Alligator mississippiensis: one gene and its partners. The protein of the gene in region 4 binds, or shares a complex with, the protein of the main gene of each other region. Links are inferred from orthologs where the notes say so. Each region holds a gene or a part of one and is shown on either strand. Other genes may lie near its edges. The genes, in order: DR1, KAT14, TADA2A and YEATS2.

Region 1 (7,557 bases), on a different chromosome or scaffold from region 4:
AACAACAAACATAAAAAACCCCAAGGAATTATATAAATATACAGGAAAAGAAAGATTACAGAAGTGGACAGTCCTTTGTATTAGAAGTGAACACAAGGAGTAATCAAGGATAAAGACCTTGCTGAGACCTCAGATGATTTCTGTGCACCAGTGTTTACTGCAAGAAAAGGTAGACCTACCACAGATCATCTCTTTTGACAAATTAAGCTGGAAGAAGTTAGAGCGTCTCACAAGTGGTGCTAGAACAGTGATAAAATTCAGAAGGAAAACTTTACAACTGCTGTTTAATGGATTTGAGAGATGTGAAAGAGACTGAACTGCTACTAACAGCAGCAGTAATGCAGGTTCTCATTAAAATTAGCTACTATATTAGAACTAGGGGGGAAAGCAAACATGGCATCTTCTTTAAAAGAACAGAAGGGCTGAGCCTCAAAATAAGGGTAGTCAAGCCTCTTTACAGTATCAAGTAAATTGGTTTAAGCAGTAAATCCAAACAGAATGTGAAGACATGCCAGAATTACTGGAGCACATCAGTACCATAAGATAAAAACAGGGTTTGGTTTTTTTGGGTGGGGTGGCAGGGGGTTGTTTTGTTTTACAAAAAATTGATCAGACCTTTCTAAAATTTCAAATAATGTTGTCAGTTATTGTAGAAAACTCAATGTAAGGCAGAAGAAACAAAAAACCCAAACACTTTAATTATGGGGAACAGAAAATACTGTAATTATATGCCACTTATAGAAAAGTTACATTATTTTCTTTAATGACATAAACCCTTCTGATTCAGGGATGGGAGGAACAGGTGAAACTACCACCATCACCCGCACTTCTGAAGAGTAAATAAGGACAACAAAAAAAGGAAAATAAGAATAATATGAAATTCTATGGCAATAAAACCCTCCTTACCATATTTAACAGGCCCTAAGTGTGATAGTTGGGAATTAAAGTTTTTTTTTATTTAAAAAAATAAAATGAAATAAAACACCAGGGACAATACTTTACAGACATGCTTGTGTGCATCACTTCACTTTAGTATCCAACCTCATACAAACCCCTTGAATATACTTCCTACCAAAAATAATCACTGTGCACAAAAGGTAAACTAATTAGTATGATTTTAAATTAAATCTGTCCACAGGATCAATCTTACCCACTCTTCAGCCTTTCCCAATTCAATTTCCCGATTTCACTTGGTCTTGCTTCTTAATCCTCACTACTATTCCTAGTTTAAAAATGGTGCTGGTCCCTTTGTTGACTACTTGAGGCAACTATATGTATCAGCACAAAAGCATACAAGAAGTATCACACACATTCTAAGTATGAGTTTTACTTTCTAGAGTCCAAGTTCCAGGCAATGCTACCACAAAGTATAGTTTCAAAGATTTGTTTATTGCAACAAAGTTTAATTCACCTGCTCACCATAATTTGGACGTGAAAAATCCATTTAAAAATTGCAAACGGAAAGCTTTTCAGTGACTTGAGTTGGTAAAAACCATCATAATCTAGATTATTTCAATTATTCATTAATACTTCATAAATCAGCTTTCAAAAGGAACTGCTACAAATGCATGGTTTGGTTGTCTTTCTGGACTTGGAGATAACACTCTGGTTATGCTGCTGCCATTCACAATTTTGTCAAGCAGTAGCAGAGTAAAACTAAAACTCTACTCACTTTCACTATTACTCCTCATATCTCTGTGGGCAGTAATGAAACTGTCAAAACTTGTGGTAATTTACGAAACAGCCACCCTAATTAGCATCATCCTTGAAGACAGGAGAGCATGTAGCAGCTATGGAAGTAGTCAAAAGAGGACAAATGATCCTAGAAAAACTCATTTTCAGCAGCCACATGGGGTAGGAACCAAATGTCAGAGAACACAAGGGCACATTTCTAATTGACACACTTACTACACCAGAAATTAATACAGAAATTGCCAAGCTGGTCCAAGGACAGCTTGGTCAGAATCCCAGAACCCTCCTCACTACATCACTTAGACTGGACTCTCATCCAGAAATGAAAGACCTGGACCTCACTGAAAACCCTGCGTCATCCCCCTGTCCCCCATTTCTGATGCAACCTCAGACCAATTACTGGATCTCAAATCATTGTGAGGAAGATGGGGGAGCAGCAGCCTGCATGGCTGCTGGCCAAGATCATCTTCACCTCATGCATACAGGAGGATTCGGCACCTGGCCCAGGCATTCCAGGAAGCGAGACACAAAACAGAGCCTGGAAGGGAGAAATCCCCACTATGGTTTCATCAGCCCCGGAGGGAGGGCAAGCTTCAGCTCCTGAAAGCTTGGACTGCTATATGTATCTGTCCTCTTTGGCTGGCCTAGAACAGCATTTCTCAACCTGCGGGTCGCAAGAACATGTGAAACAGCTAGAAACAAACTTTAAAAATGGATTCTCCTTTAAGCGAGAAAAACATGGGGAAGGGGGGCTCTTCCCTTGCAGGCTGGCAGAGCTCCAGGGGCTGCTTTGGGGACCCCCTGCCCCACACACAGGGGGGCTGGTGAGAGCAGGTCCAGAGTAGGACTGGCCACGGATGTTTACAAATGGGTCCTGGTATGAAAAAGGTTGAAAGCCACTGGTCTAGAAGGTGCGGACCTGCCCGGCTTCTATTTGACTTTGGACTGCCACGGCTTCTATATCTGTCACCTCAGCCCCACCGCCTCTGCAGGGCAGAGTAACGAGACCTCTGCTTCCCGGCAGCCTGCCCCACCCTGGCCCCCGCGGGAGCGAAGCCACGGGCGCCCACCTTGGATGACATGCTCAGGGGAAATGGTTTTCTTCTCCGACTTGTTGCAGATCTCGTTGGCCTCCGAGGAGATGAGGTGGATGAACTCGGTGCAGCAGTTCACCACCAGCTCGCGGGCGTCGTTGGCCACGCGCACGTTGGGGAGAGTTTCCTTGATCATCTTGTTGATGGCGGCCCGGGGGATAGTCAGGTCGTCGTCGTTGCCGGACGACGAAGCCATGCTCGCTCGCTCGCTCCCGCGCTCCGACCCCGCGGCAGCTCGCTCCTCACATCCAGCGCGGGGCGCTCGCGGCTCCGGGACCGACCGGCCGCCCGGGGGCCGGGCGCGCTCAGGGCTCCCGCAGCTGCTGCCGCCACCACATCCTTCACGCACCACCGCCGGGCGCTCGGGCCATGCCGGCCGCCGCCGCCGCCTTATGACCAGGGCCCGGGGCAGACGGCGGCAGAAGAGCCCGCGCTCGGCTCAGCTGGCGGCGGCGACACCCCGAGCTGAGAGCGGCCGCGAGAGGGAAACGCGATAACGCGGGGCACAGCCTGCGAGAGCGCCACTTCCGCCGGAAGCCGGACACGGCTACTTCCGCTTCCGGGATCCCCTGTGCCGCGGCCCGGAAGTGGGGGCAGCCCCCGCCCGCTGGGCTCGGGGTCGGGCTGTGAGGCTCCGCGGAGCGGCTGGGAGCAGCGGGTGGCGGGAGCGGGCGCCGCGTAGCAGGAAGCTCCTCGGGCGCTCGGCTCCGTCCCGGGTCCCGCCCGCCAAACCCCCCCGCCCCCGGGCGCAGCGACGGGGCCTGCGGCACAGCTCGGCGCCGCTGACTCCGAGCAGCCCCCGCTGGCCTCTGGGCCCTGCAGGGTGGGGCCTCGTCCAGGCGGGAACGAGCCTGAGCTGGCCGCAAATGCTCGTCTTCACCCATCGCCTGTCCGCGCACCCTTCAAAGGACCTGGTGGCAGCCAGGGTAGCCGGCAGGGCCCTGCCCGGGGCTGGACATGGCCACCGCAGGTGGGAGGGTGCGGAGAGCTGTGCTAACAACCCTGCTTGTTCTGCTGCTGCTGCCCTTGGACCTGCTGTAGCTGCTGCTGGCCCTGTGGCTCCTGCCTGGAAAGAGCCTCGTAGCCCAGGGACTTGGATGCCCCGGCCGTAAACAGTACTGTTAGCTGCCCCAGTTTTTAGATGCATGATATCAAGGAATACAGTATTTTCCTACCAGGACCACACTGAACCTAGCTTTCTAGGCACTACTCTCAGGAATTTCCCTGGGGAACTTACCTTTTAGAAAACCTTTTCAGTAAACTGATGCTATGAGTGTTTGTTCCAACTTAAAGGCATTTTTGGCAAACAGTTTGCACTGTATTTTAAAAAAGCATAAAGCTGAAACATTTGTTGGCTATGACTTTCACTATGACAAACTTCTAGATTTCTGTTGCATGTAATTGAGAGATCGAGAATGGGAGCGTTGTCGACAAAGTGACGTTATTTACTTTAGTGCATTTCCCATGAGCAGCACCACACCAGTATACTTTTAGGGAATCTGTTTTGCACATCTTATACCTGCTCCCAAGACCAGAACAATTTGACTTTTGTTCTGACCATTTGTGTAAGTGACAATTAGCACACGTATGCAGTATTAGCAATGAACATATTCAAGTTTTCAGCCATTTCCAGTATCTTCTCTCCATCCTTGTTCCTCACTCCCTACTCATTCCTCCAACATTACTTTAAACCCTTCATTTCTTTTTCTAACGTCCATTCACATCCAGTTTCTCATTGCTCTTATTGGATTCTAGAGGCACTCTTGCAGCCTTTTTCTCTTCTTCTCTGCAGCCCCCTTGTTTTGCGCATATGTTCAACATTCCTTCCGGCATCACAAACTTAGCTGCCATCAATCTGTCACTTGGGAACTCAGTCACACTGCCTTTAAGGCTGCCATGCAATATTACTCCAACTCTCTTCTGCATTAGAGAAGATCCTATATCCTGCTCCTTGTTCTCTTACACTACTATCCTTCCCTTGTGTTTATTATAATCAACCTGCTTGCCCATTCCTTATTTCCAAGAGGTTTACTATTTCTCTCCTGCCTGCAATGCTTTCAGCATTTATTGTACCAGTTCTCATTACTCACTCTTCCACTTGCTTTTTTAACTGCAGCTGTGGGGCCTACTGCACAGGCTTGATCTCTTCCTCTTCTAAAGGATAACTGCAAGATGCTTGGGAATATGTCAATATCTCTCGCATCTGATCCAGATTTGGAGCTATATTTAATTTGGTCTGTGACAATGGTCACAATTTTAAATGGGGACATTATCACCAATCAACAGATATTGTGTGCCAGGGAGTGAGACTGAATTTTGGGAATTTTCCTTCTCCCAGATGGGTTGTCAGCCAGGTTGAAGAAGCCAACGTGCCATGGACATGCTAGTTTTAAGGTGCCTAGTATGGTCAAGTCACAGTGGAATCCACAACTCAGGACCTTGTGGTCAGGAAGCCAGCAAGCCCAGGACTAGGCGTCTCCTTGACTAGTGATAACTCAAGGGACTGGGGAAAATTCAAATTAAAGGAAAAAAAACCCTACTGGCCAGGAAAGAGGGAGAGGGGGAGGAGAAAGGAACACAGTTGAGCTGAACTCAGGACTCTGTGCTTGGGTGATCAACAAGCAATTTGGTATGCCACGTCTATGGATCTTTGCTAGGACCTCCCAGCACATCCACTTGGACTGGTAAGATCCCAGGGGAGCAAACCAAGCCCCAGCCACAAGGCACCATCTAGGCAACTCACAGAATAATTTTAGACTCCTCCAATAATACAGCATTCCACCCTTATAGTTTGAAGAGACCCCAAATGGGGGGGCAAGGGGAAGCCTGGCTTGTGGCCCCCACACCTCTGAGGAGGCTTGTGGCTGCAAACCAGGCCCTACAACGTGGTGCATTCCTGCTGTGGCAGCAGTCAGGCAGATTTGGGAGATGGATCCCACTCTGTTCAGGTGGGCAGAAAAGAAAGTCACGGTCACAGATGGGACAGCACTTCATCCAGGCAAGGCACCACAGAGAAGAGACTTGAATTTACAGCCCGCCAACAGCAGGCCTATAGCCTGTACTATATAGAGCCTGAGGCCAAGTGTTTGCCCTGTGAGACTCGACAGTGGTTACTGCCCATGATACAGCAGCATCTGGAACCCAGGACATTGTATTTAAGAGGCCAGAAAACTGGCCCCTCGCTATCACATAAGGCCCAGGGCCAGGAGTCTCTTCTGCAAGACTCCTTGATCAGTGATAGCTGGGGAAAAATCAAAAGAGAATCACCACCACTGTTAATCCACAAGAGCCCAATCACATAAAAGCAAATGGTAGGAGTTTGTACAGGAAGCTGAATTTTATGGAAGTCTAAGAGAGCACTCTATAGGAAATTACTTTTAAAATTTACCCAACTTCAAAATTCCAGTTTGTTGAGGAACATGCTTTAGATTCTAAATATCGCCTTTCAAAAACTAACAATGTAGCCAAGGTGTAAAAATAAAACAAGAAAACCTGACTTTGTATGCGGAACCCAAGGATGTGTCAGAACTAGTCAGTGGAACTGGCATAATTTAACAGACTACTACAGGTATTCAAATATAGCAGTAAATGTAGGACAGCTGAGGACCAGCATTTTCAAATCTGGGTGCCTGAAACTGTAGGTTGCTAAACCTATATTTAAACACCTAGGTAAAAAGAGTCTTGTTTTCAAATACAGAGAACAACTTAAGTTCCCAATTAAGTCAGTGGGAGATGCATGTATTCAGCGCTTTTGAAAATCTAAATGCATTTATCTAGAAAACTAAATATGGATTTTTAAGAGTCTCCAGTTTTAGGTGCCAGCTTGGAAAATCTTCATTATATTGATGTATTCCTAATAAAAAAAGGAAATAACCATAAGATATTATAAAAAAGTGATTATAAATACACAAAGCATTGTGTTTAAGCTTCTTGGGTCAAATTAATTTCTGTGATAATTGCACTGACTCCTACTAAATTATATCAAAGCTGAATTTGACCCTTTAGGAGTAGCAGCATCATTTAAAAAAATAACACATTCAATGTTCTTTTATTTATACAAAAACTAAAACACACATCAGTTGTTTAAACTTTCCAGTTACTATATTTTAAGACAATTTTAAAAATCTGTACATCTTTTATATTATTAACAACAAGCTTGTTCTAACACTCTAAAATACAGTATTAGAGAGCTAGGTGGTAGTAGGTGATTCAAGAATCACTAGGAAGAGCACACACCAACTGCTGAAACTTCCTTAGCCTGACGAAGAGTTTTTGAATCCGAAAGCTTGCTTAATAAATATTCTCCAACTATTTGGGTTGGTCTAATAAAAGATACCAAATTCACCCAAGGAACCTTGTCTGCCTATGTCCTTAGACCAACACGGCTACAACCTAAACCCCTGAGACTATTAGCAAAGCACTTATATATTACAATAAGGTTCTACAAATAAGATTTTTTTGTACTGCTCTCAGGAGGTTTCACTTTTAATTCCAATAAATGTTGACTACAGACATTCAAAATATTGATAGTCATAAGTCTAATATTTTTACGAGGCACAACTGTACATAAAGAAGATAACCAAAATTATTAACAACAGATCTGGCAAGAGCATTTATCTTCAAAATACTGGTCTGGGAACTTTAAATTCAAAATAAGCCAATGTTGATATATCAACTAAATAGATGCAATGTTCTTTCTACTGCTCCATCTCAGCAGTTTGAAAAAGTTAAGACTTGCATGGAAGATTCTGTCATGATGAAAAACCATTTT
Region 2 (8,260 bases), on a different chromosome or scaffold from region 4:
GACCAAAGGCTGAGAATATCTCAGCCCTCCCCTCTCTCTCAGAACTTGGAAGGTCCTTGTGGAGTTGAGCAGTATTTCTGTTCTATACCCAGCATGGTGTTGGGTTTCTCGGGGCAGGTCATCCAAAACCACTTCTGGATGCGAGAACCCCACAGCGTTAGAAATGTAACAGTTATTCAGCTGGCAGAGAACGTGCAGTATTGCCAGATTTGATGGAGCCTGTAAAACCCTCCAGAGGTGGAGGGGTCAGATGAGTCTGTTGGTCAGCTAGGCGGACCTGTTTCAGGTCTTTGGGTGACCAGGGTAACATGAGCATTTTTTTAGGGGCTGATGAAAGAGTATTTTATCCCCATCGGTTTTTTGGAGATAGAACCATTTCCCATCCAGATTGTTCACACCAGTGTGCAGATAGCTGTTCTGAAGACTAGAGGCAGAATGAATGTTCTTCTGTCTCCTGTTGCAGATGTATAACCCACGGGCTTTTTCTTCCATAACAATCTGTTTATAATCCTTTGTATTTTCAAGGCTCTATTCAGAAATTTCTTTCTGTAAGGAAGAGCTGAGATTCTTCTTTACAAATCCAGGGTCTGATAGCCTCAGGCTTCATGGCACCCACGTATTTGCTTCTGCTGGGGGACAGAAACCTTGGGAGGAGGCTGAAAGAGCTGAGTGCAAGGTGGAAGGGGGCAGGGCTTGGGAGATGGTTTAGGTATGAGCAGGACCTCATTGGGAATGGATAGAACCTCCAAAGATTCAAACAGATGTCCTAATGTTAGGGGAAGAGCAAAATCTTACATAGCCATATATCCGTTTCTGCCCCAGCTCCCATACTGTGCAGGATATTTAAAACTAGCCTCTCAAACCCAGATCCTCTGAGAGTGATGTCTGGTGCGTTGTCAGTGCCCAAATTTAACTAAATCAATTCAGTTTAGCCACTGCAAACCCTAAATATGGATGCTCTTGTGTTTAGTGAGGTCTGGTTTATATCCATTTACATTAATCAACTTCTAGCCTTAATAAATTAAGTTAGTAAAAGCCAGTTATAATTTCAGTTTGTATATATTTAAATGAATGAATTAAAAAAAAATGGTGCAAGTTCCTGTGTAAAGAGAAGGCCCAAATCTGTATGCACATACTCCAAATCAACTAGTGATATTTGGTAGCTCTTAGTGACAAATGATAAAAACTACCATATTTACTCAAATGCAAGACAACTTCAGATTTAAGACAGCCCCCTTACCCCTCCCCCCCAAATAATTAGCATCTGGGCATGGAGAATTATAAATTTGTTATAACTTTCCATGTATAATATATAATTATTGGAGGGTTGTCTTACACTTGCCTCCGACTCTAGCCTCTAGCTTATGCCACCAGAGCTGGTGTTGCACTAGCCACCTGTGCCGAGGAAGTACTCAAATCCTAGATAAGCCTTTTTTTCCCCCATGTTGAATGGGGCAAAGACTTGATTTGAATAAATGTGGTATATACTTTCAGAGCTCTGAAATTAATGAACTTGCAGTCTGATAGATTCTAATCATCTGAATTCTGTGGGATAAAGCAGGAAGCAAACATGTTTCTAGCCTCAGTTGTTCACTTGTTCTATAATCTCCATACCTTTTCTAGATTTTGATTAGCTAATTCTATTAAAGTAATTAGTTTGCCAGGTCTACCATTAAATAGTAGTAAGTTGTAACTTGTATTAACTTGATTGAAACTCATGGGAAAGCACCTTTGTCATCAGATTAATTGCCAGAGAGGTTTTGAGAAAAGTGGATAAAATATTCCTAGCCTTTGTATTTCTTTTAAATTAAAGTACTTTTTGCATAAAGTATTTTTTTTTCTTGATAATTTTCATGGAAAAAATATTTTCCTGTGAAATGTATAATTAGGTGGATTCTGGATGAAAAATAAAAACTTTCTTTTAGAAGTGATTAAATAATACATTTTTTGATAACTTGATGACTTTATAGTTAGATTTCAAATAAGTGATTTACCTATTTTTAGCATTAATTAGCTCTGTATGGGATTAGACAATATTTCTGAAATAAATTGTTCAACATTTTTTGTCATTTCGTTAAATAATTTGTCATGCTTTTTTCTCCCTTGTGTTCAGCCAACCAGTTTAAGTACATACGAATGCATTTGGATCCTGATCAGGCAAAACCTGGATCCCAAGCACATCAGCATTCATAAAAGTTAGTACAGTGTTTCTCAGTCAGGGCACCCTGTGGGTGCTGTGAAATCCTTTTCAGGGCATCATGGAGTGCTGCACAGTATTAGCACTGTTAGGTGTGTGGATACCTCCCTGCAGTACCCAGAGATTTCAAATAAGAATCCATGGTGTCAACAACATTCTGACCTGCTGAGGTCTGAGTTCTTTGCAGCAGAGTAATTGATTCTTATTTTTCCATAGTTCACAAGCTGAGTGAAAGCTAAGAGCCGGCGTTTTCCAAGGGGCGCCTTGAGTATACCGAGATTGAGAACTGCCGCGTTAATACATTCGGCAGGGGTGTAAGCCTTTCTTCAGATTAAGACTTTAGTAGGAGCAAAACATGACCATTATTATGCAGCAGGATCCATGTGGAGGCCAGTATTGACTTTTCTACTGTTGTTTTATATGTTTCTTTCATCAAATACAATATTGTAATATTGTAGTAAGTTTGCTTGAAATCTGTTCATTTACAAAAGGGTTGGTGTCAGTGTCAGATATTACATCTGCTGCTCAATGCCTCCACCATGTTTTATGGTTTTGTAGTTTTATTTTCTTAGTTTAAATATGCCTTTCTCTCCCTTATTGTGGTACAAACACACACGAGCAACAGGAGACACTCACAAAGACTCCAATTCAGCCTTCAGATCTATCCTTATAGATCCAGCATCTGGGTTGAGGCCTGATTGACCATGTGTAGCGAAAACGGTGACACTAACTGTGCACAAAGTGCAGTGAACTGTGAAGGTGGATCCCCACTGAGGTTGCGTAGGAGGCTCTACTAGGGTGTGAGGGACTCTGCTCAAATTTCGCCATAGGGTTAGGACCACAGTGTTGTCAAATGCACAAAGTAACCAAGCCAAAGGAAACTCTTCTCTTTCAAGACTAGTAATCTTGCTTAATTTTTACAAAGACAGCCACTGTGTAGTCTGTGTTAATGTCTGATTAATTTTAATAAGTATTGTTAGAGAAATGACCCGTGTTATTTTTTCAAGACCTTACAATAAGCACATTCTGGGTCACCAACAAAATCAGAGGAGACGTTAGATTCAGGTGTCTTAAGGGTAAGAAACAAGCAGGAAGCAACCATTTCAGTCTGTGTTTTGTACATCACAAAGAAGTGGAAGATGGCACAAGTCCTCTTAAAATCCTTCCAGGTCACCACCAAGTTCTACTCAAGCAAAGGAGCACAAAGAGAGAAATTTGGGACAGAGTTTAATTTTGGTAAAGGCAGGGAGTAGAAGTCACGATCTTCTATAGAGTAAGGGCTCTTCCTGTAATGCTAAAGATCAGGGATTGGCAATGAGTGGCTAGAGCCAGAGGATCTGGCCTGCAGAAATAGTGGGTTTTGCCTTGGCCCGTGGCAGCCAGGAGGTGCATTACAGTTGGTCAGCTGGAAGCTGTGTCCATCTTGTGGCCACTTCTCCCAGCCCCCCGTAGCTGCAGTATGGGTGCCACTTCCAGTCAGTGTGTAGCTGAGCTGGAGTTGTGCAGTTTTCAGCTGCTCAGCTCCCCTACCTCAGTTTCCACTGACTGGAAGCTGTGCTTGTGCTGCAGCTGGGGAGAGGTGGAAGGAGGGGGATGGAGCTGTGATGGTACACACATCTCCCAGCTGTCTGGCCCTGGCACAGTTCCCCATCAGCTGGAAGCTGCGCTTGTGCCCCAGCCAGGGCTAGGGACTAGAGAAGCAGCAGCAGTGCCTGCCGCCCTACCTCACCCCACTTGCTGATTCTCTGCCAAAACCACCTGGTCTGCCCCAGACTGGAGCTGGGTTGTTCTGGCCCCCAACTTACAAAGATTTCTGACCCCTGCTGTAAAACAGCGATTCTAAACTAGGGTGCCACAATATATTTTAAGAGTGCCATGGGGGTGTCACACTATGTCAGCACTATTAGATATGCAAACATCTACACATGATTCACAAGATAAACCCAAAGTTTTCAAATAGGGATCTATAGTGTCAACAGCATGGTGACCTGTTGTGGTCTGTCTGAGTTCTTTGCAATAAAAAATTGCTTTTTTTTTTCCCATAGTTAAGAGATGAGTGAAAACTAAGAGTGTTTTCCCAGGAGTGCCTTGAATCTAATGAGGGGTGTCCTGAGTTTAAAAAAAGGTTGAGAACCACTGCTGCAGGAATTATCCATATACAATGTTGATAGTTGCTCACCAGGTTCCCCTCATTAAAACCATACAGCTAAGTCAACAGAGAGTGGTTTTGGCCCCTTACCAGCAGCTTATCAACATCTACCTCTCAGATCCTATATTTAGGTACAACTCAAGTCACTGAGGGAGAACTAAAGATTTGCAACTGTTAAGTGATTATCCATCCTGCAACAGGGATTGGAGTACAAATGGAGATTAATCACATATAGCACAGGCTGCATTGCGATGAGCCATGTTTTGTGTTTTCAGAGACTGCGTGAAGGTGTACTCAGAGACCTCGAGAGGCAAAGTCGCAAACAAGAGAACATTCGCCTTTTAGAAGATCAGATTATTTTGACCAAGCATCTGGAAGCAGAAAGAGACAGGCAGGCTCTGGACAGAGGACCCCAGCAATCCTAGATGTAGAACGGGAGTATTAGTTTTCACTGAAGACACGCGGAAGAGATTGCGCCTGCTTGTGCCTTGGTGTTTCCATATACGCAGGTTGTCGCTGAAAGTCCATCTCTTCTAGATTAATTTTAATCCCACACAGAAAATTACAGGCATTAGTAAATGCAAACAGAAGGTCCTTCTGGCTTCAGTATCTTCATGTGTGCGGGGGACTTGGCTGGCTTATCCAATGTGGCTGATACTTTAAACATTGGGAGGGGGGGCACCTGGTAATGTAAACTATCCTCTTTTTCTCCCTGTGAAGAAGGGATGGATGGTAATGTTCACATGAGTGGGCTAATGAGCCGTCATGATGATGAAGCCACAAGGACATCCACCTCTGAAGGTCTGGAGGAAGGTGAGGTGGAAGGGGAGACTCTCCTTATTGTTGAGTCTGAGGATCAGGCCTCTGTGGATTTATCCCACGATCAAAGCGGGGACTCTTTGAACAGTGATGAAGGGGATGCATCCTGGATGGAGGAGTTGTCCTACTACTGTGAGAAGTGTCAGAAGTGGATACCAGCAAGTAAGTAACAATGCCTTTCCTTTGTTTCCTTGATCACTTTCTTTTTGTGTGTTTGCTTCTGCAGGTGTGTGTGTGTGAAATATTCTATATTCTTTTCTTGGACAGAGCACTGGACTGGACCTTGAGAGACCTGGGTCCTCTTTGCATCTCTGCCTCTGGCCTGTTGAGTAATGCTGGGCGAGTCACTTTATCTCTTCATTCCTCAGTTTCCTCTTCTGTAAAATGCAGATAATGAGTCTGATCTCCTTTTATAAAGCACTTTCAGACCCACTGATGAAAAGTGTTATATAAAAGAGAGTTGTTGTTGTTATTATTTTTATTTTCCTGGTTGATTTGTTGTTTGTATGAGAGGTATGGGTAACTCTCAACTGGTATGTATAAGAAATATTCCTTTATACTCTGCACTTAGTTTTGCATTTACAGAAGAGTATAAAGTCCTTTAGAAGCATTTTGGGCTAACCAGATTAAATTAATTCTCTGGTATCTCTGTTTAACATAATAGAAATGAGTTTAGGTTTCTCCCTGTACTAGTACAATAGCTGTTACTGTCCAAAATCTAAGCACTGCTCCATTTGTGGGAGCAGAAAACAAACCCTTCAATCTGGGTCTGCGCCTTTCAACTACTTTGGCTAGCCATCTTGCTAAAAATCTGCCAAAACCCTTGGAGGGAAATCCCATCCCCAGGGAAGTGGAGGGGAGTCTTGCCATAAACTTTTAATGGAGCCAGGATTTCTCTGTTGGTGTTCAGTAGCAAATGGCTAAAGGGACACAGTCAACTTAAAATTAAGTCTGTAAAAAAACAATAAATTAAAAGTAGCATTTGGTGGTCCCTCTGACTCTTGAGTCCTGCTGCTGCTTTTTTTATTTTACAGTCCAGTTTTCCATTCTTCCCACCCTCAATCTTTGTTGTTTGCATAAAAGATACAAACAGCAAGGGAAACTGGCCACAGAGTGAATGTGATCAGACACAAGTGTGCAGAAATAGAAATGTTTTTCTCTGATGTCTTTCAGTGACAGTGATCCTAGCTGTGACTTACACCACATAAAAGTATGTTCAGAGATGGATTCCTTTTGGCAATTTTGCTAGTATGACAAATAGCTTTGCCTAGCAAGAGCTAATGTTTCATTAACATTATTATTAGTCTTTCACTAATACATTGTGAATTGCTGTAGTGGGGTCAACAATGTAGTAAAAGAGAACTAGATGATTGCGTTAAGCACTTTTAAAAATTCCAGATGTACACTGTTACTGTTCCTATTTGCTAGTGATATTTATGATTAAATTAATCATAATTCACTAGGGAGTGAATCTTACAATCCCAGGTCTTCTCATTTCCTCTTTTCCACAGTAGAGAGTCTCGTTAGCCTTAGAAGGCTAAGATTTTTTGGATTGACTCTCTTCCATCAAGGCCTTTTGTTAAGTCACACATATTTAAGGTCAGCAAAAGGTCTTAAGCGCTGAGATGCTTTCCTGAGTTAGGATCTAGAAGAATAAATCTTAGTCAAGAACAGCTATTTCCTGGTATCATCTTCTATTTCCAGCTGGATGCAGCGTTCCCCTGTCATAGTGCCAAAGAAAGAATAATCCCATAATATGGGTAAATAGATACCTTAAGGTCTTACGGTAAGTCTACCTCTGTGGGTCTCTGACTGCAGAAAGAACAGCTTCACATGCAGTGAATGCGTGGACAGTGAAAGGAGCTAGAGGGTTACTTAGCAGTGGAAAGATGGCAAATGAGGAAAGACGTGTATATTCACAGACCAGGTTATAGTGGCATCTTTCACAGGGTTGCCTTTTTGACTACCTGTCGCCTTTATGAAAACCCTGGGGAACTGTGGGGAGGGGGTAAAAAAAGGCAGAGGAAATAACAGGGTCTAGCTAAGTCTAGCAAAGTTTTTGATGTTTTAAATGTATTTGAATGCTAGGTAGAAGACCCTACTTTAATGCATGTATTTCTGTATTGGTTCCTGCTGGTTTCTGTAACTGTACAATGAATCTATACTTTAAGCATCACACACAGTTTCTGAACTTTTCATGAGTACTCAGGGTTGCTGAACTGCAGCTCAGGAGAAACGTGTTCCTGTAGGGTGTTGTGGGGAATCTATATCTACTTTTCAATGCTTTTCCTCAAAAAAAACTGAGGCATGGGTCTTTTCCTTATTCATTTTAGGTCAGTTGAGAGAACAACTCAGTTACCTCAAGGGAGATAACTTTTTCAGGTTTACTTGCTCTGATTGCTCAGAAGATGGGAAAGAACAGTTTGAACGACTGAGACTGACATGGCAGCAAGTAAGTAAAAGTCATCTTTGTAGTAGAAGAACAATAAGACCTTCAAAACTTGTTGTTTAAACTGTACACACAAGTCCTAGACATTAGGAGGTCAGATATAGGAGGCTAAGAAATGTACCCAGGAGCTTCCAAAGTGAGTTTTCTGAGGATTGTTAATTATCGACTTGATATTTTGTGAGTAGATCAGAAAGATCGTCACAAGACCCAAACTGCTCACTACTCAGTACCACTACATGCCAGTTTGGAAAAGCAAAGAAAATGTAATTTTTGCTGTTGGCTTTTTGGGCAAAGCAAATGCCACCAAGAGGGTGATGTTTGAACAAAAAGCGTGCTAGCTCACTGGAAGCAAAAGCTTATTGGCTGTCCATGGCTGTAGTAAGTTCTGGTATAGCAGTACACTTAGCTGTCATCTTTGTGGGATTTACTATTTTAGTTACTTCTATACTTGCATTAGTCAAGTAATCTCTGATTTATGTAACAGTAAGTTTGATAGTCATAGTGATGCCTCTTAGAAGGGATTCCTTGTATGATATAGAGTTTAGGTTTGGATTTCATAGCTTTAGGCTGGCTGTGCTTGAAATAAAGAACTCTGATATCTTAATGAAAATCACAGCTCTGAAGGTTTTCTTCACCTTTAGCTTTA
Region 3 (8,362 bases), on a different chromosome or scaffold from region 4:
TCATCGAGTCCAGCCCCCTGTCCAAGGGGCAGGAAGTCAGCTGGGGTCATAGGAGCCCAGCAAGATAAACATCCAAATTTCTCTTGAAGGCATTCAAAGTAGGTGCTTGAACCACCTCAGATGGCAGGCTATTCCAGATCTTGGGGACTTGGACAGTAAAGAAATTCTTTCTTATGTCCAGCCTGAAACAGTCTTGCACGATTTTATAACCGTTTGACCTTGTCATCCCTTGGGACACTCTGGTGAACAAATCTTCCCCCAGATCCTGGTGAACACCCCTTATAAAACTTATAGGTGGTCATTATATGGAGCAACTTAATGAAAGAAAAAAGTTTTTCCCTTTCGTTAAAGGAAACACACATGCATGCATGCACTCACACGCAAATATGCAGGCATGCGTAAACAAAGACAGAAAAGAAATTTAACCTGCTCATGTAGTATGTACAACTGTATCTTGAGATGAATGAACTTTGCCTACAAGAGAACTAAAAGATCACTGGTGCAGTCAAAAGCCCCCAGCTTCATTTCTGAATCTTCTTAGGCTTTACTGAAAAGACGTTAGCTGTTGTTTACCCAAAGCTCCAAACATGTCATGTTTTCTTCCATGAACTGAACTCTCTCACGCAAATGCATTTAATTGATCAGCATTTTTATTTTATACTAAGGGTGGCTCATAGCTATGTACTCCAACTTTTAAAGGAAGCTCAGTGGTAAGATAAACCCCGAGACATGATAGGCGATAGGACAAATGATGGTTCAGCTATCTACATGGGTCAGCAGCCCGTGTCTCCTGGTTTGTCCTTTGCTGCCTACTCAAGGATTTCCTTCATCTGCTCATGTTAAATTTTTTGTTTTTTTCCCTCCAGCCTTTAACATTTCTCCTGGTCCCTGAGCAAACATTTCTGAGGTGCACTTGAGATGATATGAGCCCAATAGTAATGCAGTGGGTTAACACCAGAAATTGTCTTGATAACCTTCTCAAGAAAGCATACGTTTTCACTTTTTACCATCAGCTTACCTGCAAACACAGGAGAAAAGGAGGAGGGCCGCATTCGGCACATTTGATGTACGGTTCTGTGAGGTATGAAGAGCAGCCTCGGCAAGGGGGCTTATCAAATGGGTCATCTACAAAACCAGCAAGAAAACATGCTGAAAGAAATCCAGTGCAACACAAGTATGCAACTGTGGTTTATACTGTTATTCAAAATGGCTAGTCTCAGTTTTAAAATGCAGGTATATGTTTATAGACAGCTGGTCCTGCCTGGGAATAGCAAGTGAACGGACTAGATGACCTTTCAGGGTCCCTCAAGGTATTTCCTATGGTTATAGAAAGTGTGTCTCCACTCTTCTAGATTCTCAGTTTATATTCCATTTTTAAATGAATTATTTTTGCAGGGAAAGAGTTCACATGTTTGCAGTCAACTCTACTTACATGCATACTGGATAAATGCATAATTCTCTTTGCTGCCTAATATGAAGCAGGTCTTAATTTTTTTTGCTTCCACTAGAACAAACACTGGTATACACATATTTTTTTAGTTCTCGGATGTGCCAAAGACCTGCCGCTTCAGAACAGACTCGATTAATCGAGTCTGCCCCGCGTGGGAGCCGACGCGCAATGCGCTGTGCCACATGCAGTTGTGTAAGCAGCAAAATGCGTGTCAGCGCAGAGAAAATGGCAGCGGTGTGCTTTTGAACTAAAGCACTTCAGAGGTGTTTTAATTCAAAACCACACCACTGCCACTTTCTTCCCACTGATGTGCATTTTGCCACTTATACATCTGCAAGCGCTGCAGCACTGGGTGCTTTCTGCAGCAACTTACAAGCATACAAATGCCCTGTCTGCGTATCATTGAAATGAACGAGCCACTCAAGCACATTTTAGCTGCGAGATCTACTTTTGTAACGTAACCGTACTCCGGCTGACAGCGTACCAGTCGGTGGAAGAAAACAGTGAAGCAGCAGCTGTCAAAGGGCTGCTATCGAAAGTCTGGAAAATGACGGGACCTGGTCAGTTTCGGAGCTAGTCGGTTTCGCAGGGTGTGAAACCGACTAGGTCCAGCCCTTTGTCAGTCCCTGGACTCGGTGCTGAAATGCAGCACGCGACCTCCTCCTCTCAGCGAGCTCCAGCTTCCCCTAAACAGCGGCGTGATTGATGCGCCTTGTCCACGCTGAACCTGCAGGCACGGTACTTACTGCTGAACGACGCCAGGCGCTCCATGGTCCTCACGCCGTTGAGCTCGGCCCGGCCAGGTGGCCTCTACCCAAAATAAATTAGGCTGCTATGGAGCCCCTAGTGTAGATGAGTTTCCCCTCAGATGGCCAGGACCGCTCTGGCAACAGCGCCGCCAGCGGTCACTGCAACAGGAACCCCGGCCGAAAGTCTATTTTCTGAAACCAAACGCAGAAAGCCAGGAGTCATAATACTAAAGATCGAGGGGGCGTTGGGCGCGGAGAAGACGGATGGGGCCCAGTAATGGTTGCGATCGCCGACGCGGGTCGCAGCGTCAAAAATCTCGATATAACGCGCCCGTAATTTTTGCCCGCCAAACTGCAACTCCCCTCCTTCGGGGCGTTAGATCGGGTCTGCGTCTTCCCGCGGTTTATTTGCAGTCGGCGCGAACAAAAACGTCAACCGGCGTTTCTTTCCGGCGCGCGGTCCTCGTAGGTGCAGGAGCGGGCGGGCTTTGATGAGGCGGCCCAGCCAATTATTCCTGTCCAAAAAAGACAAATCATTTCAATTTAGGCTCTCAGCGCTTTACGTGCATCTAGTCAATAAACCCATTTCACAGACGGGGCAACTGAGACAACAGGGGAGGAAGCCACTTGCCCCGAGCCGGCCCACCCGTGCTCCCCGGTTGTTTTCCACCCTCTTGGTATGTCCCGTTCCCACCCCCCCGCCGCCGCGCTCACGTGGTCGCTCCCGCCGCCGCTTCTCCACCGGGCGCTCCCCCCTCCCCCCCACGTGCTTCGGCCGCGCGAGCTGCTCCCGCCCCCCCTTCCTTACCCTGCCACCAGCGGCCGGGATATGCGCATGCGCGAGGGGTGAAGGCCAGCCGGGGCGGTGTCCGCATGCGCACCTGCAGGGGTTGGCCGGCGTGCGCATGCGTGGCGCAGCATCCACGTGGGGAAGGGAGAGTCCGTAGTGCAGCGTGCGCATGCGTGTTGCGCCACGCACGTGGCTACTGGGCTCCTCTTCTGGGTGGGGAATGGGGTTGTTCAATGTGGAGGCTGGGCCAAAGTGTGAAAGGGAGGAGAAGGGGGGAGCCGCTTGAATATGTGGGGTATGAAATGGAAATATTTTAACTTGCTAAGAATTTTTTTTTCCAACTGTAAGTTGGTCTAATAAAAGAGACCACGTTCACCCAAAGAACCGTGCCTGCCCCTGTCCTTAGACCAGCAGGGCTACAACCTGCACCCCTGTAAAATGGAAACAACATTTTGTTTCAATGAAAAAATTAAAATACATTTAAAAGATCCTTTTCAAAACACCCCTTCCCGCCCAAACAGCCTCACCTACCATGCAGGACTGTGTCCTGGTGCAGCTGGAAGGATGAGGAGTTGTTCCCCGCTGTAACAACAATCATGGACAATTTGGTAGCAAAATAATCGCCAATCCCTACAAATATCCCAGGAAAAAAGTTTGTTTGGGTGGTTTTTTTTGTGATTTCTTAGTTGGTCTAATAAAAGCTATCATCTCTGGACCAAGTGCCCTAGAGTTTTGCATTTCTTTTTGTCTCAGACCAACAGACCTACCAAATACACCCCTGCAAATATCCCAGACACAGGTGCACGTTCGGGACGCGCTCTGCCAGGACCACGTGAGAAGCAATCTGCGGAGGAGCTGTGGAAGACTGCTGGGAGCGTGTCTTGGTGCAGGCGAAGGGGTGCGGCACAGGGCGAGACACCGCTTTGTTAGGAAGAAGAGAAGGTAAGGAGGGATGTGAGGAATGAGATGAGATGCAGGGTGATGTGAAAGTGGAAGGTTTCAGCCCAAATCAGAAAGGCTCTAGTTCCCACTCACTGGTCTGCATGCACCTGTTCAGGGCCGCAGCCCCAACCCAAACTGAAGGGGCCATCAAAATCACCTATTGCACCAAAGGGCGGATTTGATCCAAAACCTTGGAGGAAGGTGGGAGGGGGAGATGTTAGATCATGTTGATGTTCCTCTCTGCCCATCTCGCCTGCTGCATTTGCTGCTTCTTTGGCCTGCTGGTTGTTAGAAAATGTTGGAAAATTAATGTGACCTTTGTATGACCGTTGATCAATGCTGGCTGATGCAACCTTGAACTAAGATTGCCACTAGTCTGTCATTCTAGGCGGGCAAGCAAGGTGATTGGGCCCAACCATGTGGGGTGAGCAAAGTCATGCCATTTTAGTAATTTTCTGCTGAGTTTTGTGCATGTGTTATGGGAAAGGCTTATGTAACCAAAGTTTATAAATCTATGTGTTGAGTTGCAGTCGGGGTCTCTCTGCCCTTACGAGGACAGGGGATCTTCGGCCGAATAAACTGAAAAGACCACACCCCAGATGGAGCTGGGATACGAGCCCCGTTTGGGTTGAGAGAGTCTGCAGGTGTTCCCTTACCAGATTGGGAGCCTGATCAGACAGTTTCTCTCACATGGTCCACAAGTTCTTCGTGTCGTGTTTTTATCTCCTGTTAGCTCCGATGGAGTCTTCCTCTGTAAGTGTTTAGTGCGCTTGTAATATATTTTCCTGGGTATATGGTTTAGTTTGTGTAATACCAATTCACTTGCAGCTCATCTCTATTTTCGGGCGCGTTCACTGGCGTGACATCACTGATCTCAACGTAGCTATACCAAGGAGGAGTTCATTCTCCCTTCCTCGCTAGGAGCCCTTAAGTAAGCTTCCAGAAGTTTCCTTATTGGTGAGATCAGCTGTTCGGCCTCCTGAATCCGGGTTCACTTTTTGTTTTAGTATCTCTGCTCCTTCCCTGTCCATATTTCCCCGTCCAGTGACCTTACCCTGTTCCTTCCTGCTGTGTTGCACTCTAGTCCTCTTTGCATTTGCTTATCTGCTGCTAGGAGAATGAGGGCAGATACCTGAACAGAGGGAATCTTGCTTTGCATAAAACTGTTGGTCAGGGAAGGCTCAGCTACAAGTTTTCGTTGAGGTCTGTTTCTCTTCTGTGTGCCAGACCAATTGAACCAGAACATGTTATGTTTGGTATCAAAGTCCTGCTCCAGAGATTAAGGTGGATTTTTTTTTTTTATAGGCATGCATCTATGATGCTGTTGTACATCATTGCTTTCCCATACACACATTGTAGAAAAATCCACCCCTGTGGAACACCTGGTCTGGTCATGACCTAATCACCCACAACTTGGATATTATAACCCAGTATTAATTAATTGCCTTCTTCCAACCCCCTCCCCCCAAGCAACCATAATCTCCCCCCAAAACAGTTGTTGCTGTTTGTTCGACTGTAATGTGTTTTTGCTGCTTCTGTTGTGATGTTAATTTTGTTTGAAATGTTGTTTGTATACCCTGAGAGGCTGTGCGATGCTGATTTAGGTGGACAGAGTCTAGATCCCTTGGAGGAAATGTCCCGTTGTTCGCTGTGAGACCAGAAGGCTACTTATTATATTCATGTATGCAAATTTGCATGAGAACTTGAGAGCTGATCTCCAGAACAGGCGGATGTCGCCTTTGGCAGTTCATTTGTGAAACTTGAAGCTCTTGGTAGAGATATGTAACCTGCCAGTGATCAGAGATTCAGTTTGGAGCCTTTGCACAGATGGTGGCTGGCCCAAGCTCAGACACTGAGATGTGGTTCAGCACCTCCACAGCGTTAAGTAGAGGCTGGGGGAGGCTTAGGTCCTGTGTCCCTGTTCAGGCTCATTCCTGATCCTGAACCATTTGGGGCTTTAACATTGGGCTAGAAATCTTGGGAGTAGCGTTTAATTTTGCTTCACCAGAACTAGATAGAATCATAGAAAATTGGGATTGGAAGGGGCCTCAGGAGGTCACATCTAGTCCAACCCCCTGCTCAAAGCAGGACCATTCTTCACTAGATCATCCCAGCCAGGGCTTTGTCTAGCCAGGTCTTAAAAACCTCCAAGGATGGAGAGTCCGCAACTTTGCTGGGTAACTTGTTCCAGTGTTTTACTACCCTCCTAGTGAGAAAATTCTTCCTAATATCTAACCTAAACTTCACTTGCTGCAACTTGAGACCATTGCTCCTTGTTCTGTCATCTGCCACCACTGAGAACAGTCCAGCTCCATCCTCTTTTGAACCCTCCTTCAGGTAGCTGAAGGCTGCTATTAAATCCCCTCTCAGTCGTCTCTTCTGCAGACTAAATAAGCCAAGTTCCCTCAGCCTCTGCTCATAAGTCATATCGCCTAGCCCCCGAACCATTCTTGTTTCCGTCCACAGGATTCTCCAATTTGTCCACATCCTTTCTGTAGTGGGGGGCCAAAACTGAACACAGTACTCCAGATGTGGTCTCACTGGTGCTGAAGAGAGGGGAATAATCACTTCCCTTGACCTGCTGGCAACACTCCTACCAGTGCAGCCCAGTATGCCATTAGTTTTGGCAACAAGAGCACACTGTTGGCTTATATTCAGCTTGTTGCCCACTGTAACCCTCAGGTCCTTTTCTGCAGAGCTGCTGCCCAGCCAGTCAGCCCCAGCCTGCACCAGTGCGTGGGATTGTTCCCTCCTAAGTGCAGGACTTTGCACTTGTCCTTATTGAACCTCATGAGATTTCTTTTGGCCCAGTCCTCCAATTTGTCTAGGACTCTCTGAATCCTAGCCCTACCCTCCAGTGTATCTATGACTCCCCCCAGCTTGTTGTCATCTGGAGACTTGCCGAGGGTACACTGTATGCCATCTTCCAGGTTGTTGATGAAGATATTGAACAAAACCAGCCCCAGGACCTCTCCACTTGATACCAGCTGTCAGCTAGACATGAGCCATTGATTACTACCCTCCAAGCCTGATGCTCCAGCCAGTTTTCTATCCACCTTACAGTCCGTTCATCCAGTTTGTACTTCCTTACCTTGCCTATGAGAATGTTGTGGGAAACTATATCAAAAGCCTTGCTGAAATCAAAGTATATCACATCCACTGGTCTCCCCGCATCCACAGGTCCAGTCATCTCATGGTAGAAGGCAATCAGGTTGGTCAGGCATGACTTGCCCTTGGTGAATCCATGCTGACTGTTCCTAATACATTTTTCTCCTCCATGTGCTTTGAGATGAATTCCTTGAGGGTCTGCTTTGTGATTTTTTCCAAGGACTGAGGTAAGGCTGACCATTCTGTAGTTCCCTGGATCCTTTTTCCCTTTCTTAAATATGTGCACTACGTTTGCCCTTTTCCAGTCATCCGGGACCTCTCCTGATCATCGTAAGTTTTCAAAGATGATGGCCAGCGGCTCTGCAATCACATCAGCCAAATCCCTCAGCACCCTTAGGTGCATCCCATCTGGCCCCATGGACTTGTGTGTGTCCAGCTGTTCTAACTAGTCCCTCAACTGTTCTTTCACCGTTGTGGGCTGCTCACTTCCTCCCCAAACTGCTGCCCAGTGCAGTAATCTAGGAGCTGACCTTGCCTGTGAAGACTGGGGTGAAACAGGCACTGAGCACTTCAGCATTTTCTGCATCCTCTGTCACAAGGTTGCCTCCCCCATTCAGCACCTTCCCTGATCCTCCTCTTGCTACCAACATACTTGTAGAAACCCTTCTTGTTACCCTTCATTTCCCTTGCTAGCTGCAACTCCAATTGCACTTTGGCCTTCCTGACTTCATTCCTGCATGCCTGAGCAATGCTTTTATACTCCTCCCTAGTTATTTGTCCAAGTTTCCACTTCTTATAAGCTTCCTTTTTGTGATTTAGTTTACAGAAGAGTTCCCTGCTAAGCCAAGCTGGTCTTCTGCTGTATTTGCTCGTCTTCCTTGGGGTGGTTTGTTCCTGCACTCTCGGTAAGACTTGTTTAAAGTGCAGCCAGCTCTCTTGGACTCCTCTCCTCAGACTGGCTTCCTAGGGGATCCTGCTCATGAGTTTTTTGAGTCGAAGTCTGCTCTTCTGAAGCCCAGGGTCCTTACTCTGCTGGTCTCCTTCCTTCCTTTCCTCGGGATCCTGAACTCAATCATCCCATGGTCACTGCTGCCCAAATTACCATCCACTACTACGTTCCCCACCAATTCATCCCTGTTTGTGAGCAGCGAGTCAAGAAGAGCATGGCTCCTAGTTGGCCTCTCCAGCACTTGCACCAGGAAGTTGTCCCCAACACCCTCCAGAAATTTCCTGGATTGCCTGTGCACTGCTGTATTGCCCTCCTGGCAGATTTCAGGGTGCTTGAATCCTCCATGAGAACCAGGGCCTGTGATTGGGAAACTT
Region 4 (7,579 bases):
AAAAATGTCCTCAATGAGGTGTGGCGAAAGCTAATACAACATGCAGGAGATTATTGTAGATTTCATAACAGGACATTTAAATTTGCTATAGGAATGATTTAAATGGCTTCTGGCTGCTACTGTTCTGACCCCATATTGAACAAGGGGGCTGATTCAACTTACACTGGAGAAAACTGATATATTCCTATTGGCTTCATAAGGCGCGTCCAGATGAGCCCATACACGCCTCTTGACCCATCTCAAACCTGTTTGAGATGGGGCAAGAGGCACGTGCGGGAACAAGTGCAGGGAGAAAATTAGATCCTGGGGTCTAAAAAAACCAAAGTTTACAAAAGCAGGGCAGGGCATGGTCCCAGACTCTGCCCTGAGGCAACCGGAGGCTGGGTCCTCCACGGAGATGCTCTGGCTGCCAGAGCGTCTCTATGGTTTGCCCCTTGCCCTGGTGCTGAACCATGCGGCCTGCCAGACAGCGCAGCACCAGGGCTCCAATGCTGTAAGTAAGGGGTTGGGGGGGCTGGAGGAGGGGGGAGGGGACTATGGGGGGACCCCTGCTGGCCCCACCTGCTCTCTCAGCCCTCCCAGCCTTGCCTGACCTAAGCCCTCCTCCTGGATCCCCACACCAAATCCCTCCGCCCCCCCCCGGGGCCTTACTGGCAGTCCAGCTGCCGTCTTTATCGCTGGGGCCCAGCCCCCACAGCACAGGGCAGAGGAACAGCTCCAGCCGGGGCCCTCCTGCCCTGTGCTGCCCAGGAGGGCTCTGCCAGGAGGCCCCAGAGCCCCCCCAGCCCCTACTTTTCTAAGGTAAGGGGGGGGGTCTGTTTTTTTTTTTTTCTTGTTTTGTTTTTAAAGTGATGGTGCCTGGGGCTGGGGGGGACAGCCATGGGGGTGTGGGGGATGGGACTAGGCAGGGCAGCCACTGTGGGAGTCTGGGAGAGTGGGGGGTGGAGCTGTGTGGGTCAGCCATACTGTTGGGGACAGCACAGGTGCTGGCCCTGAGCTCTAGCTCCCCCTGGCTGCAAATCCAGGAGGAGCCAGGCAGGGTTATTTTGCCTTAAATGGCACAATTTGCTCCGCAACAAAGTTCATGTCCAAGCACGTATGCTGAGGCAAAAAGCCTTGGCTCAAATTTGTACTGCTTCTATTTGAGCTGCTGCAAGCACATGTGCTTGCATGTGTGGATGTGCCCATAATAGTGTAACTTGGTCTTATAATGATGGTGGGACAACAAAGCACAGGCAACACCCACTTAGTGAAACAGCGTTAAGCGGAACCCATTTCCCCATAGGATTTAATGTAAATAAAGATAATTGGTACTGCACCACCTGCCAACCCAGACCCAATGCTCCTGCAGCCCCACCCTGGGCCCCACGTTCCTGGCCAGGCCGCTCCTGGCAAGACATCATGCAGGCTCTGCTAGGGAAGGCATCAGCTCCTCCTGGCCTCATTGTTCCCCCACCGCAATGACCCCTGCCGGACCACACCTGCTGGCCACCAGTGCACCTGTGCACAGCCCCAGCTGCCCCAGCCATTGGGCCTGAGTCGGGGCTCTGGCGCAGGGTAAGCAGTGGGGCTACCCACCTGTCTGCGCCCCACTTTAACCAGCGAGGGCTCCCTCCAGGGCACCCGGCACTTGGACGAGCTGCCACCACCAGATCGCTGCAGGCTCGGGACAAGTGTATGACTGGAGATGACCAGATCGCTGCACCCCACAGGTATGACTGGAGCGGAACAGGGCACGGACTGCAGCTCGCGTGCAGGGGAGCTCTGTGGGCTTGGCTTGCACTGGCTCAAGCTCTACACTCCTGCCAGCCCTGGCCTTGGGCCCCATGCTCCTGCTGCCCTGCTGGCCCAGGCCCTGCGCTCATGTCCCCCACCCACCCTTTCTCGCTGCTGCCGCTGTTCCTCCCCGCCCGCTGGCCGGTCCAGCACCACATGCCGGAGTGGACCCTGTGCTCCTGGACCCTGCTGGCCTGGGCTCCAAGCTCACACTGCCTGGCCCCCCACCCTTCCCTTCTCGCTGCTACTGCTCCTCCCCGCTCCTGGGCTCCTGCCAGCTGCCACTCGCCTCTTCCCTCACTGCTGCCACCGCCACTACTGCTTCTCCCCATGCCCACGCTATAATGAAATTCACTCAGCGCCGAGTGTATCTAGGTAGGCATTTTAAATGAGCGCTATAACAAAACCACATTAAGCAAGGGTTGCCTGCATTCTGCTGTTCAGCTATATCAGGGGTGTCCCTGGTGCTGCCTACGGGTCTCGGTGTGACCCATAGGTGGCATGCAGGGTGAGCTGCATGGTCCTGCACATCTGCAGAGCAATAGAGCAACTACCATGTGCAACTGCCATGTGCAGCAGTTGGAGCAGGACTGGAATGTGGACTGATGTGTAGGTCTGGCATGGCCTGCAGAGTGGCCCTGCACCTCTCCTCCAGCCTGTGGGACAATGCAAGTCTAACACTCCTGAGCTACAAAGTGTCTCTCTTAAAATGTTTTATAATAGAAGCCTAAAACTTGCCATAATACCAGTGTTCGTATTGCATCAGCTTCACCATATAATTGTTTGCGATAGTCAAATCCTTTCAAAGGACTGGAACCAGTTACAACTTGCCAAGAATAATTTCTGTATTAGCAGAAGTAATCTCACCTGAAAGAGTAGTCTGTAGACCGTAAAGCAAAAATCCTTTGAAGGCATCTGGGAGCTATTCTTAAAATAAGATCACAAGATTTCAAAAGCTCCTGCTATTTCTCCTTGTTTGTTTTTCATTGATTTATAAGCAAGAATAGCAATAAAATTAAACTGAATTAAGATGTGCATACAATATTACATGGGCGATTGGTGCCTCCCGAGTCGGGGGGACCAGTGGGGCACGACCGGGGGTGGGGTCCCCCGGTGGCCAGCTCCATGCCCTCCTACCAGCCAAAGCGCTCGCTGTTGTGGGGAGGCACCAGTGCTCTCAGGGCAGGCACGTGCCCCCCTGCCCCCTCTGTCGCCTATGTAATATTATGGAGACATTATTATTGATGAATACAGTGCATGTTAAAGACTTGTATCTGCAGGCATTTATATGCGTTGTCCCCATTGGGATTGGGATTGATCATCTGAGTGTTGGCTGGAGACCAAAAGCAAATCTAAAAGCTGCATGTTTGAGTAGGGATGTTAAAGCCAATGAAAGGAGTAAGGATTTGCAAGATTGAAGTCGTAAACATGGTAAAGCAGAACCTTTCTAATGATCTTGAGCTCCAATGAAAATGAGGAAAGAAAAGTCCAGTTCAGATACCTATATTCAAATATCTTACTCAGCAAATCAATAGGACCATTGGTTGATTGAAGTGCTATTTGATGTGAGCATAGGTATTGGAGCTTGGGACTAAGTGAATAATTGAGAGAAAATAGTGACATCACATCACAAAACTGACTTTCCTGTTTTGTTTTGGACAACTGCAGCTTTAGTCTTGTGTGCTATGAACCATTATAAAGAGTAAATATGGCAAAGCACCGTATTTACTCACAAAATTAGATAATATGACCCTGAAGATAATATGACCCTGAATATAACATATAATTGTGACTCACAATAAGATGACCCTGAATATAAGATGACCCCCTGCCTCCCAATACTTAGATTCTATACAGTATATGGAAAAATTGCCTTTCCCTGCAGTCTCTGTCTTCCCCTCCTTCTCTCCCCACCTTACTGTCAGATACTGCTCAGGCTGTTCACAGGCTAGGGACTTAAGTTGCACATAAACCAGTTTAGGTGATCAAAAACTGGTTCAAACCTGTAACAGAACAAAAGCTCAGTGCATATAAACCAGCTTCAAAGTGGCTGAAACTGGTTTAAAATAAACTTGGTTGAATGTAGCATCAGACTTAACTGATTTGGGTCAAACCAGTTTATGAAACTTCTGTCCCAGACCCCTTCCTGGTTCCAAGTTAAATCACAGTACCCCCTAATGCTTTGTCACCCTGGGCTGTGCTGTGCTGTGCTGTCTGCTCCAGAAAGCAGGGCTAGCCTTGCCCCTCTATTCCCTAGCTGGAGCACTGAGGGCTGGCTGATAAGAGGGTAGGATGGCCATCATAGAGGACATTCCGGTTTTCTGCTACTCTGTCCTGTCCTCTATTGATACGAAACCCGACGCCTTTACATCCTGTCCTCTATTTTCTCTTCAAGAGAAAAATAGAGGACATACAGGTGTCTGGTTTTGTATCAAGAGAGGACAGAGGACATCTGGACTGTCTTCTATGATAGCCACCATATAAGAGGGTGGGGGGAAGCCTGGCTGGGGCTGTAGCCTAGTCTGCAGAGGGGATGGGACTGCCCCTCCCCAGGCAAGCCCCAGCTGGGGCCTGGGGCCAGAGAGGGGGATGAAATTCCCCTCCCAAGTACCTCAGAGTTACCTGGAAGCATGAAGAGGAAGTGATGAGCACCCTGCAGAGTCCTGCTGCTTTGATTTTGGACTGCAAATCCCAGAGACCTCGGGGGCAGCAGGAAAAGGAAGTGAACACACAGCCAGACAGCCATGCTCTAGTAGCTCTGGGCTTCTGGACTGAGCCACTACAAGCATGTGGCACTTCCTGAATCAAAGGTAAATGTCTGTTCACTTGTGTTTCAATTTAATATCTGAATCTTAGACTAACCTGCAAAGACTGAATCGATTCAGCCTCAGGCTTTTTGACTGTCTGTACTTAGCCATGGAGGCCACAGTGCTTGGAAGCTCAGCCCTTGCCTGGCCATGCAGTAGTACCAGTGCTGCTGATTGGCCAGGCAGGCAACACAGCAGTGCATGTGTGCTGCTGGGCAGGGGAAAGACTTTCTATGTGCCCTGTGCCTGGGAGAGACCCCAGCTGCAGCCAGAGCCCAGCTATGCCTGATAGCGGAAGGAAGGGAGTGAGGGGAGGAGAAGGGGAGTAGAGAGGAAGCGGAAGGGGGGCAGGGAGCTGCTGTGGGACTGACATAGGCTCAGGGCCAGTCGGAGCTGCAGCAGCTGCCTGCCCCCTCCCCTCCCCCTTGCTTTGTAATATAAGACAAGAGGTTTCTTTTGCATGCGGATGGGGGGGATCTTGTCATATTTGAGTAAATATGTAGTTTTTGCAAGGAAAGAATTTTTGTAATATGAGCTCGCTGGAACAATGAGGAAAATGGCTTCTGTAGCAAGCTAACAGTGCGACTTTTGCAGATTATAGTGTGTGAAATTGCAAGGTTCTACTGTTTCCTGTGTGGCTTTTTTTATGTGGTACCTTGATCACACTGCTCTTATAGTTTCATAGTTGGTAGGGTCGGAAGGGACTTGAGCAGATCATCAAGTCCGACCCCCTGCCATAGCAGGAAAGAGTACTCTTCTAAGAAGAGTGTTCATCTAGCCTCTTCTCGGTTACTATTTCTGATGCTGGAAAAAAGAAAAAAAATATTGCTTGACTGGAAACTCAAGATTATTTGACATTGCTTTGAGGTTTTTTTCTTTAATAATAATATAATTTACTTATCTGATCTTGGAGGATATTATTCTTGGTATAAAATACTTCTCTTTACCAGTCTTTTTCAAGCGTGCCCCTTTCCCATAATGGTACACCACATCCATGTGAGAAACTTTAAAATAAGGGTGTGGATATGATGCAAAACAAGCCTTCAGTTATGGGCAGCAGATCCAGATTACCTCTGGTAATTAGTAAACCGTCTGTTTATGTATTTTTGTTTCAGAAACACTGATATCAATCATAACCCAATGAAATTCCAAAATGAAAATTTCAGTGCATCTAATCTGGTGTGTACACCATGACATGAATATTTTTCCTAGCATAAACCAGAATAAATAGATGTGCTAGGAAGCTAAAAGATACAGCAGGGACACAGCTTGTGTCAGTTACTTCATATTTATAGTGTGGTGTAGTGCCTTAATCATAGATCTTGGCACTATTATGCAAGGCACAGCATAAACATGGAATAAAGAGAGCCCTGTCTCATGGGCACAGCAAATGGATATTGCTGGCATACAAGGGGCTCATAAGTAATAGAAGGAGGCTTTTCCTTTTCTGCTGAGGAGTCACAGCACTGCAGCTGTGACTGAAGAGTTTTTGCAGCAGTTTTGCAGATGTTTGTGGGAGCTCCTCCTGTCTTCAAAGTGCAGCATGGGGCAAGGGGAAAGGTATACATTTTCATTTTGTGATGAGCTTGTGGTATAGGACCATAGACTAGCTACTCTGGTCAGTTCTGGGGTACACCACCTACATTTTTTTCAGTAAATATCTTCATTCTACTGGGCAATTCCAACTCCTCCCCCTGTACAAAAAACCTTAAATAAGTTATCAACCTTATGTCAAACATACCAAGTTCCATAGGAGTCCAATCTACTGTGTTGCTGATCCTTAGAGAAAAAAATCCCCTGCTATCAGTTAACCAGCTGACCTCCATGACCTCAATCCCTCTGTTCCCCTTTCACGCTGAAACAGTCTCTCAAGACCTAAAACTCATGTTGTACATGTTTGCAGAACAAGTAAAGAAATGCTTTCTTCAGTTTCAAGGTAACCTCCAGAATAGGGAAGTGTTATTTTCTGTGGTAACTCTACTCAAAACGTGTACATTTGTGATGAACTGTAGGAGCAATAGAGGTGGGTGGTGGTACAGGGCAAAAAGTCATATGCAGGTCAGGAAAACCTCAGTATAAGCAGGCGGCCATGGACTGCTTGAAGGTAGAGCTAAGGGGAAAGAACAGCGCAAGAGGCAAAATAAGGCCTCAAAGTGTAGGAACGGAGTGGCTGAGCTGGTTTATTTTTTGGGTCTGTTTCAGACTTGAAAAGCCATGAGGCAAAATCCTGAAGAAGCAGGGCTGGAAGGTCATCTAGTCCAACCCCCTGCCTGAGGCAGGGTCATCCCTGTCCAAACCATCCCATACAACCATAATCTAAACTCTCCATCTAACCAACTGAGGTGCAACACGGACCTAATACCCTAACCTGCCACAGGTAAAGCAGGGAACCACGGCACCCTGTGTCCTACCCACCTGAAACCTCAGTATGTGCTCAGGAGCTCCCAGGTAGAGGGCTATGCTCCCGCTGCGGGGGGCACCGCGGTGGGAGCCCCGCGGCAGTAAGTGGGGAGCTCCTGCAGATGCTGCTGTAGGTGGTGAGCACTGCCCAGGGGTTGATGACCACCCACAGACACCGCTGGCAGGGGCCAGTCACGATTGCTGACCCCCTGCAGACACCACCAGCCTTTTCATAGGGGGTGCACCCATGTGCACCCCCTACTTGTGGCCACTGTGAGGAAGGAAAGCAACCCCCACCTGCCGTCCATCCCTGTCCGACCGTGGGGTCAGACTCCTGCCCGCCCCAGCTCTGACCAGTCGGGGAGGAGGGGGGGGAGGGGGCAGCAGGACGAGCCCCTCCAGCCTGGGGCCCCACAGGAGCCCTGGCACAGCCCAGGCCACGTCCCCGCCCCGGGCTGTAGCCGACACCCGGTGCCTCTGAGGGAACAGCCCGAGGGCTGCAGTGGGACTCTCCGCAGAGAGCGGAGCCTTTCCAGCGGGCATCTCCGAGGCCTTGCAGCTAAGCACAAGGGCAAGCCCTTGGCTGAACGTGCCCT

What was found.
Region 1: YEATS2 (region 4) and DR1 share a complex: the UniProt entries of both Homo sapiens proteins name them as parts of the ADA2A-containing complex. The link is inferred for Alligator mississippiensis from reciprocal best matches to the Homo sapiens genes YEATS2 and DR1.
Region 2: YEATS2 (region 4) and KAT14 share a complex: the UniProt entries of both Homo sapiens proteins name them as parts of the ADA2A-containing complex. The link is inferred for Alligator mississippiensis from reciprocal best matches to the Homo sapiens genes YEATS2 and KAT14.
Region 3: YEATS2 (region 4) and TADA2A share a complex: the UniProt entries of both Homo sapiens proteins name them as parts of the ADA2A-containing complex. The link is inferred for Alligator mississippiensis from reciprocal best matches to the Homo sapiens genes YEATS2 and TADA2A.

What each region holds. Positions count from the first base shown.
Region 1 is NC_081828.1:33,511,726-33,519,282, reverse strand, and holds the start of DR1 (protein Dr1), read right to left. Parts: upstream 3,318-7,557; 5' UTR 2,983-3,317; coding exon 2,763-2,982; intron 1-2,762. Other genes in the region: retinol dehydrogenase 8-like, read right to left, coding at 7,462-7,557. UniProt on the Homo sapiens protein: The association of the DR1/DRAP1 heterodimer with TBP results in a functional repression of both activated and basal transcription of class II genes.
Region 2 is NC_081824.1:231,120,365-231,128,624, reverse strand, and holds the start of KAT14 (cysteine-rich protein 2-binding protein), read left to right. Parts: upstream 1-5,071; coding exon 5,072-5,327; intron 5,328-7,498; coding exon 7,499-7,617; intron 7,618-8,260. Other genes in the region: protein PET117 homolog, mitochondrial, read left to right, coding at 4,622-4,771. UniProt on the Homo sapiens protein: Component of the ATAC complex, a complex with histone acetyltransferase activity on histones H3 and H4. May function as a scaffold for the ATAC complex to promote ATAC complex stability. Has also weak histone acetyltransferase activity toward histone H4.
Region 3 is NC_081837.1:5,728,605-5,736,966, reverse strand, and holds the start of TADA2A (transcriptional adapter 2-alpha), read right to left. Parts: upstream 3,091-8,362; 5' UTR 3,008-3,090; intron 2,977-3,007; exon of another isoform or gene 2,914-2,976; intron 2,715-2,913; 5' UTR 2,222-2,714; coding exon 2,197-2,221; intron 1,126-2,196; coding exon 1,019-1,125; intron 1-1,018. UniProt on the Homo sapiens protein: Component of the ATAC complex, a complex with histone acetyltransferase activity on histones H3 and H4. Required for the function of some acidic activation domains, which activate transcription from a distant site. Binds double-stranded DNA.
Region 4 is NC_081830.1:41,937,718-41,945,296, forward strand, and holds the start of YEATS2 (YEATS domain-containing protein 2), read left to right. Parts: upstream 1-4,524; 5' UTR 4,525-4,586; intron 4,587-7,579. UniProt on the Homo sapiens protein: Chromatin reader component of the ATAC complex, a complex with histone acetyltransferase activity on histones H3 and H4. YEATS2 specifically recognizes and binds histone H3 crotonylated at 'Lys-27' (H3K27cr).